3 linked regions of the Cricetulus griseus genome follow. The protein of the gene in region 2 interacts with the protein of the main gene of each other region in a biochemical or structural test. Links are inferred from orthologs where the notes say so. Each region holds a gene or a part of one and is shown on either strand. Other genes may lie near its edges. The genes, in order: Nr0b2, Eid1 and Fbxo21.

Region 1 (4,338 bases), on a different chromosome or scaffold from region 2:
GGTGGCTTCTCATTCAGTTGTAAAATAAACCTTGTCCCCAGCATTGAGGTCACTGTCCCTCTCTAGAACACTAAGGAGCTGGTTTCTGCTTACATTCCAGGAGTTCCATCTGGCAAGAGGAGCATGCACCCTGAAGAACGGCTTGCCCCTTCCATAGGCAACCGTGGTGTCAGCAGGTCATACCTTTTATTACAAAAATCAATAACTTAATTGAGTTCTATACAAAGTCAGGAGGAATTCTGGCCTGAAGTACAGCCTCATTCATGCTCCCATCTCTGTCCCTGGCCCAAAGACTTTGGGGGGCCACCAAGGACCTATTAGGCAGTTAGTATACTGTGTCCAAACCAAGGAAGTCCAAGCTGGGGGCATGGCTGAGGTGAGGGCTGCTCCTGGGGAGTTGAAGCTCCCCTTTGGAAGCCCTGGATTCCACTCTGCAGGTCACCTCAGCCAAAGCATGTCTTCCAGCAGTTCAGCGATGTCAACATCTCCGATGATAGGGCGGAAGAAGAGATCCACCAGAAGGCTGCATGAAATGTTCTTGAGAGTAGAGGCCATGAGGAGGATTCGGGCCAGGCGGCCTTGGCTAGCAGGGTACCAGGGCTCCAGGACTTCACACAAGGCCCAGTGAGCCTCCTGCTGCAGGTGGGAGATGTGGCAAGAGGCATGGAGGCCTGGCACATCTGTGGCAGAGAGGGTGAAGAGGGCTGGTGAGCAGCTGCTCCGTGGAGGCTAGCCCAGGGTGTGAGAATGTTAGTGGCTCCCCCCCTCATATGCCGGGGTGCAATGCAGGGCCTCGTGCATACTAGGGCATGCTTGGCAGGCATTCTACATTTGGGCTGAACATTGCTGGTTCCTTTAACATGCCAGGCGATAGTTGTACCACTGAACTACATTCCCAGCCCTTACAGATACAGAAGAGACCTAATTGTTTGGTGGTGTTAGGCAACAAACCCAGGACCTGTAGCTCGGGAGGTAATACTTTACTAATGAGTTCCACGCATTGGCCCACTCTGCCACCTTGGAGGTTTCAATCACCATCTCCTACATTTTATTCCATTTATGTGGAGATAAGGGCTGAGACATACGAGTTAGAGAGATGGCTCTGTGGTTAAGGGCACTTCCTGCTATGACTGAGGACCTGAGTCCGGTTCCCACCTACATTGTGGCTCACAACTGCCTATAATTCCAATTCCTGACACCCTCTTCCGGCTTCTGTGAGCTCCCACCAGATGATACACATACATACAGGTAGAAACTTACACACATAAAATAATATCTAAATAATTCTTTTCTTATTTTGTTTTTTGAGACAGATTTTCGAGGTGGTGACACACTTTTAATCCCTGTACTTGGGAGGCAGAGGCGGTTAGATCTCTGTGAATTCAAGACCAGCCTGGTCTACAGAGCTACTTCCAGGACAGTCAGAGCTGTTACATAGAGAAACTCTGTTTCAAAAAACAAAACAAAAAGCCAAAACCAAAAAAGAACCAGAGGCCGGTTGTTCGTGGCAGGCCTTTAATCCCAGCACTCGGGAGGCAGAGGCAGGCGGATCTCTGTGAGTTCGAGGCTGGCTGAATTTGAATCCCAGCACTGCCACTGTGAGCTCAGTGATCTTGGACAAGTAGTTTCATCTTTCTGAGTGACCTTAGATGAGTAGTTTAAATCTCTGTGCCTTAGTTTCTTCATCTATCTAGTGGGAACAATGACAATACTTGTTGCCCACTACTGCTGTGAGGTTTAACCAAATCACTATTTGTAAAACCCTTAGGCTAAGTCCTGACATATGGGAAATGCATGTGATTCTTTGGTACTGTTACTGCCGTTTGGCGTTACACTTTAACTTCCAAGGCCTGTCTCTTGTCTTCCTCAAAGTTACAAAGAATATTTTCCCATGCCAGGCATGGTGTTAGTTTGAGGTCAACTTGCTTTACGTAGTGAGTTCTAGGCCAGCCAGGGTTCCGTGGTAAAACCGCCTCATTTCTCCTCATCGCCCCTCACCCCACCCCATCTGCTCTCCACCCAAGAAGTGACCACTCCCCACCCTTCCATTCTTTCTGTGTGGCCGCTCTGAACCCACGGAGGACTTTAACCTTCAGAACTTCACTGTGCAGCCTGCCCTTGAAGAAGGCAGACACTGCACACGGCGGTGTCTGCCTTACCCACTCTACCCTTCCAGCACAGCGGCAAAGACCAATCTCTGCATTAGCTTGACTTGCATTCCCAGGCCTGTTCTGCCTCTGCCTTACTGTGTGGCCTTCAGGTAGTTGCTTAACCTCCCTGTCTCTCCTGGGAGATACCTGTTTGGAGCTAACAAGGACGCAAAGAGACAACGATTCTTTTCCTGGACGGGTCCTGTCCCCTCCCAGCGTGGCCCCCATCCAGGAGTGTCTGGGAGCTCACCTGGGTTGAAGAGGATGGTTCCTTTCAAGTAGGCATACTCCTTGGGACCCAGCTCAAGGCTCCAGAAAGACTCCAGACAACGCTGGAGCCACTGCACGGCAGCCAGTGAGGGCTGTGGCCGGTCGGGTAGCTGGGTACCCTGCGTACCACTGCTGGGTTCCTCCAGAAGGATTTTTTTAAGTATACTGGGCACTGGAGCCTCAGCTATCTCAAAGGTCACAGTATCTTGGGCCAGCCCAAGCAGGAAGAGAGGGCCCCAGCAGACCCCCAGCAGCCGTCGCTGATCCTCATGGGGCAGGTGGCAGAAGGACGGCAGGTTCCTGAGGAACGCTACTGTCTTGGCTAGGACATCCAAGGCCTCCCGGCAGGTGCGCTGTGGAGCACTCAGACGGACAGGCCGGTGCTGCTGGCAGAGGCAGTGGCTGCGAGATGCGGGTGCAATGGGCCTGGCCCTGAGGCTGGGGCTTAGAAGCGCGTACAGAATAGCAGGGCGGCCTGCAGAGCCCTGGCAGGGGCAGCCCCCAGACTGGCTGGAGTTCATGGTTGGTATCTCGCTCCTGTTTCTTCCCAGCTATCGGTCCTCTGTACTGTGAGTGCTATTTATATCCTCGATGGCGGGAGGGGGAATGGCCGTGGAACCTTGACTCCAGAAGTCATGTTCATTGAAAAAAAAAAAAAAGCCAACATACACACACAATGCACACATACACTGACCCTGGCAGGACCGGAGGGGGAGGGGCACTGGAGCTCCACGTGGCGTTGCTATCGCTTTAGTCAATGAAGTGGCCATTGCAGGGCACAGGGCCACCTGCCCACTGCCTGGATGCCCTTTATCGGATGACTCAGTGTATAAACAAGGTCATTAACCCAGGCTGTACCAGGGCACCAAGGTCTCAGGTGCTCAACCAGCCAGTGGCTGTGACTGCTGCTGTTTCGATTGGAGCCCACTTTCATGCACACAAGACCAGGGTTCTCACTGAGCCAAGGAGCCAGCCAGAGAAAGCCAGCTAAGGCCTTGAATGCCTGACCCAGCCTGGAAGTGCCTTATCGCTGCTGTGTTTGCCTAACCTTGGGGCTCTGCTCCTGTTGTCGGTAAGGAACAGGCTGCAGGGAAGGGAGCCAGGTCCCTGGGGGACTTTGCTCATTGTACAGTCTAGGAGGTACCCCCTCCTGTGACTCCAGTGCAGAGGCCCCGTTGGAGGAAGGCCATTCCAGAGCCCCCTGCTCCCATTCTGTGCTCCAATAGCTCCAGAGGGGCTGGGCCTGCTGGCCCTTGCAAAATTGTTACTTACAAGGCTGCCAGTTACTGAGGACCCACTCTATATGGATCACTTTCCCTTGTAATGTTGAGAACTTCCCAGAGAAGTGACCTGCTCAAAGTCACTCCAACCAGAAGGGACAGAGCACAGATATGTCTGACCTCGAAGTCATCCTTGTTTGCCCCTCCCCCCCCCCCAATCAACTGTGCAGCTGAAGTGTGAATTTCCCAGCACAGGTGGCTAGCAGCTACCCCCACTCCCAGCCCCCAGCCCCTGCCTGGTCTGCAGGTGTGGCCCACCTATGGTGCGACTGGAAACATCTCTGCTAACACGCCGCTTCTCTGCCCTGGATATTTGTCTTCAGTGGTTAGAGGCGAGGTATGAGGGAAATGGGAGGTCCTTGGCTGTGTCAGGTTCCTGACCTTTGGCTAGCCTTGCCTAGCAGGTTTGTTGTCGCCACACTCTTGGGCAACCTGGTGCTCCGGATGAGGAGCCCTGGCATCTGGTCTTGGCTCCATGATTCCCAGTCAGCTGCTCTCCAGGGTTCTGTGAGCCTTGGTGGAGACAATCAGGGCTCCTGTGGTATTGGGACTTGACAGAGCAAGGTTCTGTGTAGGCCAAGAAGCTGCCCCCACTCTATCCTTTAGACAGGCAGCCACACTGCTTTCACTGTAGTGCT
Region 2 (3,738 bases):
AGGATCTAATACCTTGAGAGAGTTATTTCTCTCCCTCCACCACATGGGCTCCTGAGATCAAACTCTGGTCATGAGGCTTGGGTGTATGTCAGAAGTTGCCTTTACCCACCGAGCCATCCCACCTGCCCAGCCTCCCAAACAAGATGAATATAAAACAAATAAACCACCACCACCACCACCCCACCCCCAGCCAAAAAAATCCCGAGGAGTTATCCTACTGTCCTATATTCCCATCATGGCATAGGAACAGTCAGACTTTTTAATTCATCATAAAAGATGTGCTAATGAGTAATTTTTCTTGGCATGGCCTTTGATGCAATTACCACTCAAGGAACTTCAGCATCTTCACCAAATAACACACAGCAACATATATGCAGGGCAGGTTTCCGTAGGCTGGCCAATTCTTTCATTCTATTGGTCAGGTAATTAATTGAAAATGGTTTCATTTTACCATTGTAAGCACTGGCTGTTTAAATCTTAAGATGAATGCAGTGATACCACATAATAAAAGAATCTTGCTTAAATAAAGTATCTATGCAGAGCTATTAGACAAAACAAAATACACAGAACAGGAAAATTTATTATCGCCAATGCTGGTGCATAGGGACTAACAAGCATGATCAGAAGGAGGGACGGGGAGAGAGGAGGAGAGGGAGAGAGAGAGAGAGAGAGAGAGAGAGAGAGAGGAGAGAGAGAGAGAGAGAGAGAGAGAATATGAGTATCAGGTATCCAGGTGGACTTCTGAGCAGATTTAAAACCTCCAAAGTTTGACAGCATAATAGCTCATATAATCTTTTATAGGTACAGGTAGGGTTTCCTTTTACTTGACAATTTTTCACAAACAGTTCTTACAATATGAAGTTCAGCTATAGTCTTACCATCTGTCAAGGTAAAAAACAGTGAGTAAAAGTTCCCTAGTATAAAAGGGTATTTATTAGAAAGTTTGTCTTTGGGCTTTCCCATAAATTTTAATGCATGAACTTAAAACTTTAAAAAGATATCCTGATTGGCTTTTTTTTAATATGTAACTTTAAAAATCATCACAAGGGATTTTTCCAAATTACAGATCACAGTAGCTTTATAAATCATGAAGATACATGTGCAGTCAAATCCCAGCTTTTGTAACACATTTTAAGATAATAGTACACATGGTAACACACATCTACACTTATACACACATATTCACTTTGATTTTTCTTTGGGGGGGTCGATGAATACTCAATCTTAAATCTCAAATTTAGCTTTTGATAACTGATTTATATAAACCACAAAACAGAATTTGGAAAGTTTTCTCAACAGGCTCTCAGTTCGAATCAAAGATATCTTGTGGATGTATTCTTCTTCATTCTCTAATTAGATTCTTGTATTGGCAGTCACGATTTTTCTCTTGCAAAACCATTTTTACAAGCTTAACACGACCAAGTTCTTCTCCAACGCAGGGAAAAATCATCTCGTTCAACAGTCTGAACCAGAGCTTTTTTTTTTTTTTTGCTGAGCCCCTCCTTCCTCGATTCTCCTTTTCCAAGACTGCACGGTCACTCACTGTTTTGTCTTCTATTCCGGGAAACAAAAACCTTTTTTTTTTTTTTTTTTTTTTTTTTGTTTTTTGCACAAAACTAGTTGGAATGAACCCAAAAACAGCAGAATGTTGAATCTCTCCCTCTCAGGTAGTTTCCTCCTCTTTCGTCAGCATTTACTCTCGATCAATGATCTCATCACAACCGAGCTCTTCGGTCAGTCGATTGACAACCATCAGCGAAAACAGCTCTTCGATAAAGGCGAGCTGGTCGAAAGGGCTCTTCTCGCAGCGCGCCTGAAACCCGCCATCCAGGGCATCTCCGGCTCGCGCCGTTCTCAGGAACACCTTGTTGGCTTCCTCCAGCGCGGCAGACACCCTGTGCATCGCGCCGCTCCAGCGCTCCTCTTCTGGGAAGTCGTAGTCGTCCTCCCAGTCATCAAACTCGTCGCCCTCCAGATCTGCGCCAGCCTCGGGGAACAGGCCGCGCTGGGCGCGGGCGGCTAACGGCGCGGCCTCCTCCTCCATGGGGCCCTCCTCCGCGGGCCCGCGGGCCCCGCGGCCTACCTCCATATCGCCCTCGCCGGGCAGCTCGTCCATCAGCTCGTTGCTTTCTTCGTACAGCTCGCAAAGCTCAGCCATCTCCGCCATGGTGGAAGCCTCTTAAGTCAGCCAGGCGAAACGCTTCCACCGACACGGACGCGCGAACGGGTGTGGTGCGCGGGCGCGTGCGCGCGCGGACGAGTGGGTCGGCGTGGCGCGCGTGCGGGAGTGCGTGCCTGCGTGCGTGCGTGCGCAGACGAGTGGGCATGCGTGGTGCACTTGCGGGGGGCACGGGACACGCGCGCAGGCGAGTAGGCGGGCTGGGTGCGCGTGCCAGCCTGGCGCGAGGTGGGCGTGGTGCGCGTGCGTGAGCTCTAGACCGCTCTAGCCCCCCCCCTTCCACCACCACCTCCCCCTCCTCCAGCTGGGCCGGACTCCCAGAAGCTTCTGCTGGGTCTGGACCTTCCATCTGCAGACCCCGCTCTAGGTTCCTTGATGTTTGCTTGCTCTGTCACACTTGTCACGTCCCTGCACCGGAAAACACCGGGCTTCTGGGACAGACTGCCGCCTCTCCCCCACCTCCCTGCCTCCCCAACATCCCTTGGCAGTCATCCACCTCCTGCCTCCCCAGCATCCCATCAGTCATCCACCTCCTGCCTCCTCAGCATCCCATCAGTCATCCACCTCCTGCCTCCCCAGCATCCCTTGTCAGTCATCCACCTCCTGCCTTCCCAGCATCCCTTGTCAGTCATCCACCTCCTGCCTCCCCAGCATCCCTTGGGACCAGGACGTCCACTACTGCTCATCATTTCAAATCCACCTCGCCTGCCGGCTTGCGCGGCACGAAAATTCAGCTTTCCATTTTTTTTTCTTCCTGAATATACTGACGTTGACCTAATCGTGGACAAATTGTGTGTGTGTGTGTGTGTGTGTGTGTGTGTGTGTGTGTGTGTGTACGTACACCATGGAGAAAATGGAAGCCACAGTGTTCTTTTCTAGGCTCATAGGATATGCATATTTTAAATAAACATGGGTAATCAGGCTCACAATTGCTCTACAAACTTAACCTGCAGTGTTTGAGAATATTCACACCCTTGGCTCCTGTTGTTTTATTGAATTAATAAAATTAATTTCAGTTTTATCAGCTTGTTCTCTTTTATGTGTATGGGTGTTTTGCCTCTGTGTAACGCCCATGCACCTTGTGTGTGCATCACCTGCAGAGGCCAGAAGAGGATGTTCATCTCCTGGAAATGAGGTCACAGTTTTGCACTGCCCTGTAAGTGCTAGGACCCAAACTCTCTCCTTAGTGTGAGCAGCTGATGCTGTTTACTGCTGAGCCAGCTCTCCAGCCCTAAGATTGTATCTTTATAACCTTTCCATAACTTTAATTTATTAGAGGACAATGATCTTTCAGTAGGTATAGGGGGCATTTGCTTTCTTTCAACACATTAACAGGCCTTACTTTATGTTTGTTTTGCTGATTTGTAGGAATCCTTTGAAAATGTGTGAAGACACTATTTTTCACTTTACAAATTTATCCTTCAAGCCTGTATGCTTTAAGGAGTCATATATAAAGCTTTTAAAATTAGTTTGTATGTAACCAAATACTTTCTATATTTCTTTTTGTACTATTAAGATGGATTTTCCAACTTCAGCAATATGCCTTGCTACCTGACAAG
Region 3 (3,646 bases), on a different chromosome or scaffold from region 2:
GTCAGCTACAAAGGACAAATGCCATGATCATCCCCACTTTAGGAGTCCGCTCCTGGAAGTGGTATGTGAATGGGGACTGGATCCTGGTGGATTTTTGTTGGATCAAGCGTTGGGTATTTGGGTATTGGCGCTAACCAAGAAATGTTTGACCCATTACGACTCCTGGTCCACAAGTGGCATGCCGTCATTGGTCTTTGTCAGGGTACATGGGTAGGTGTCGATCCCACGCTTCGGAAAAGAAAAGGCCTGGCGAAAATATTATCTCCTAGTCTTTCTGTCTTGTCTTGAAGGTGCTTGATATCCTCCAGCACATCCAGACCCTTGACCCTGGGCAGCACGGGGCAGTGGGCTACCTAGTGCAGCACACACTAGAGCACATTGAGCGCAAGAAGGAGGAGGTAGGCGTGGAGGTGAAGCTGCGCTCTGAGGAGAAGCACAGAGATGTCTGCTACTCCATTGGACTCGTTATGAAGCACAAGAGGTGAGTACCTGCTCCTGGCCTCTGTGGCTGCCCACAGGCTGCCAGGGCCACAGCCACACTGAAGAGGGAAGAGGATCCCAGAGGCATACCCTGGTACCTCAGGTCATTTCACTGAGCACCCCCACAGGCCAGACAGCAGGCCCCTGCCTGCATCCAGCTTTTAACTGTGAGGTATAATGTCTTTCATGAACTCTGACTGCTCCTAGAGTTTGTATGGGGCTCTGGGGGTTGAGCCTAGGGATTGACCAAACTAGAAGCTCACTGAGCTATGGCCCCAGCTCCTCCTTCTGCTGTCCCTTCTCTGTCCCCTGCCATCTCTGATCTGGGTTAGCAGGGCTTTCCTGAGGTATAATTCTGCCCATGTCTGTTCACCAGGCAGAATTTAACTCCAGAGTGCTGGTGCAGGTTCATGTCCCACAAGCAACCTACAAACTGTGATTACTGTCCCCACAGCATGACCTTGGTGTGCTCATGTGACAGGAGCAGGTGACACTTGGTAGTGTTTTTCCCTCACTGGCAAAGGCAGTTCCATCTGGCCACACGGTCTTCCTTGTTGGCATGTGGCTACTTCCTACCCCTCCATTGTCTCTGAGACATTCATTTAGTGAATGCTTTCTTCTCAACTCCTTAAAGAAATTTCCAAACATGTAAGAGTGGAGAGAAGGGCACGTGAGGCAGCTTGTGCTCCTAGTGTACTGGCTGTAGCAGTGAACACCACAACCACCACTTCCCTCCTCAGTTCTGGACTAATGAAGTTAATGTTGCACACATTCACCCTACCCATTCAGTTGGAGGGAAGGGGGGGGGCTCCCCTGCTCACTCTTTTTTTTTTTTTAAGATTTTATTTATTTATTATGCATACAACATTCTGCTTCCATTTATATCTGCACACCAGAAGAGGGCACCAGATCTCATAACGGATGGTTGTGAGCCACCATGTGGTTGCTGGGAATTGAACTCAGGCCCTCTGGAAGAGCAATTGGTGCTCTTAACCTCTGAGCCATCTCTCCAGCCCCTCCCCTTCTCACTCTTATTATCCTCTTCTTACCAAAGGTAGTCTCTTGCTCTGTTCCAATGTTTTTCTTAAAGCTGGGTGGTGAAGGCGCACGCCTTTAATCCCAGCACTGGGGAGGCAGAGGCAAGAGGTTGGAGGCCAGCCTGGTTTACATAATTCCAGGACAGCCAGGGCTATGCAGTAAGAACCTGTCTAGAAAAAAAAAAAAAAAAAAAAAAAAAAAAAAAAGATTATTTTCCAGATACAATGCTTTGTTGATGGTGAGAGTAGGATTTGTAAAGAGGGACAGGATTTCTTAAAAGTGACTCCACATGGGGTAAGAGCAGTAGGTAATGAACAAAGGGCATGGAAGAACCCCAGCCTGCCTCTCCTGACTCCTCCGCAGCTCTGAGGCTCCCCAGGAGCTCACTTGCCATCTTCCCGTGCTCCACAGGTATGGATACAACTGTGTGATCTATGGCTGGGACCCCACCTGCATGATGGGCCATGAGTGGATCCGCAACATGAATGTTCACAGTCTGCCTCATGGCCACCATCAGCCCTTCTACAACGTGCTGGTGGAGGATGGCTCCTGTAGATATGCAGCCCAAGGTAAGGTGTTTGTTTGCTGTATCTCCACCCATCCCTGGCTGACCATGCTATAGGGAGAGCTCACCAGTGTATACAGGGTAGCAACTGTCCATAGCTAGTCACACACAGGCACACCAACACGAGGTCCTTGTTCTAGCACTGCTTACTGTCCTCACTAGCCAGACACCTGACTTCCCTGTCGCCCTCATGTGGCCACAGGTGAAAACTGCAGTCCCCTGTACAAACTCTGTGCTTGGTGACCTTTGGTAGGCCATGGCCACCTGACTGGCCAGCGCTGGGAACAGATGGAATTGAAGAGTCAGAGCAATGACTGTAGTGTGAGCCTTTGTCTGTGTCCCTTTTGACTTTCATACACCTGAAAGCAAGGAGCACACTGGTTTATTAATAAGAGAAGGTGTGGATACTGATGCGATGAACAGTGTGCCCTCATGGGTGCTAAGTCTGTTTGAGACCCAGGCGTTTCATACATGCAGAGCCTTGAGCTTGTACAGGCCACCTCCACTTTACCTTGACCATGAGGACATGAAGCCAGGAGTCTGGTGATGGGCTATGGCCTGAACCAACAGACCTGTTCTGCCCATACAGGGGTAAAAATACTGAGGTCTGGAGTGTCACGGTTTCAGATAACAGGAACAGTCCTCACATGAGTGATTGTGACCCATTGGAGGCCAGGAGGATCCATCCAATATGTCTGTAGGTGCCTCACCTCCTCCATGGGTTCCTGGGGTAAGGTAAAGGGGCCACATGTTCCCAGAGTGTTCTGGAGGCTCCCACAGGCCAGTCTTCGGCTTTTGAAGCTAACTCCAGTGAAAATCAAAGCTCTCCATTTCTGAAAGTCACCGTGATTTAAAAACGGCCTGGGGCTTTGCTCTATGACAGGTGAGGAAGGCTTTCTGTCATCAGTCATGACTCCTGGCTGTGGCGTCCTGGGTGTAGCAGTTGTCCACCCTACTCAGAGTGGGTGTAAACATCTTCAAATCAGATATTGAGGTTTATAGAAATAGTTCGTATACTGTGTTTGCTTGATGCAATCTGTAAAGTGAGCACTCAGCTTTAGTTGTTCTGAATGGTTCCTGCTGATGCCTCAGTGCACCTCACTGTGTGTGTGCACACACATGGGATAGTAGTTTGCAGTCACAGTGTAAGAAGAAACAAAAGTCTGCAGTCCAATGACTGGGTGGCATAGGAGTGGCTGTGATTATGTTAGCTTTGGCTGGTTTCCCTTGAGAGGCCCTTCTGTTGGCCACAGGACTATGGCTTCTCCTGAGGGCTGCTGTGTGATGGCTGTGGGGTGCAAGGGTGGCAAGGAACTCCTTCACAGCCACACATAGGTATTCACATACCTCCCTGGGCCAGATCCTGTTTCTAGTGACCTCGTGAACCCTTTTATTTGTGTGCTGGACTTCCAGCCTGGGCTCTCTGCTCTGTGATCTTGGGGTAGCTCCTACACATTCTTCTCCTGAACTGCTGCTCCACCCTGCCTGCTCCTGCAGATACACTCCACATGCTGTCCATTCGCCAACAGTGGGTTCTCACCTAGGTCTGTTTCATCAGTGAAT

What was found.
Region 1: the proteins of Eid1 (region 2) and Nr0b2 form a complex in vitro, tested with the Homo sapiens proteins (3 studies listed by BioGRID). The link is inferred for Cricetulus griseus from reciprocal best matches to the Homo sapiens genes EID1 and NR0B2.
Region 3: of the proteins of Eid1 (region 2) and Fbxo21, one has a biochemical effect on the other in vitro, tested with the Homo sapiens proteins (2 studies listed by BioGRID, with this or other methods). The link is inferred for Cricetulus griseus from reciprocal best matches to the Homo sapiens genes EID1 and FBXO21.

The regions. Positions count from the first base shown.
Region 1 is NC_048595.1:19,710,320-19,714,657, forward strand, and holds Nr0b2 (nuclear receptor subfamily 0 group B member 2), read right to left. Parts: upstream 2,942-4,338; coding exon 2,401-2,941; intron 681-2,400; coding exon 439-680; 3' UTR 177-438; downstream 1-176. UniProt on the Homo sapiens protein: Transcriptional regulator that acts as a negative regulator of receptor-dependent signaling pathways. Specifically inhibits transactivation of the nuclear receptor with which it interacts.
Region 2 is NC_048599.1:52,887,977-52,891,714, forward strand, and holds Eid1 (EP300-interacting inhibitor of differentiation 1), read right to left. Parts: upstream 2,387-3,738; 5' UTR 2,168-2,386; coding exon 1,694-2,167; 3' UTR 561-1,693; downstream 1-560. UniProt on the Homo sapiens protein: Interacts with RB1 and EP300 and acts as a repressor of MYOD1 transactivation. Inhibits EP300 and CBP histone acetyltransferase activity.
Region 3 is NC_048597.1:97,899,553-97,903,198, forward strand, and holds part of Fbxo21 (F-box only protein 21), read left to right. Parts: intron 1-269; coding exon 270-481; intron 482-1,929; coding exon 1,930-2,087; intron 2,088-3,646. UniProt on the Homo sapiens protein: Substrate-recognition component of the SCF (SKP1-CUL1-F-box protein)-type E3 ubiquitin ligase complex.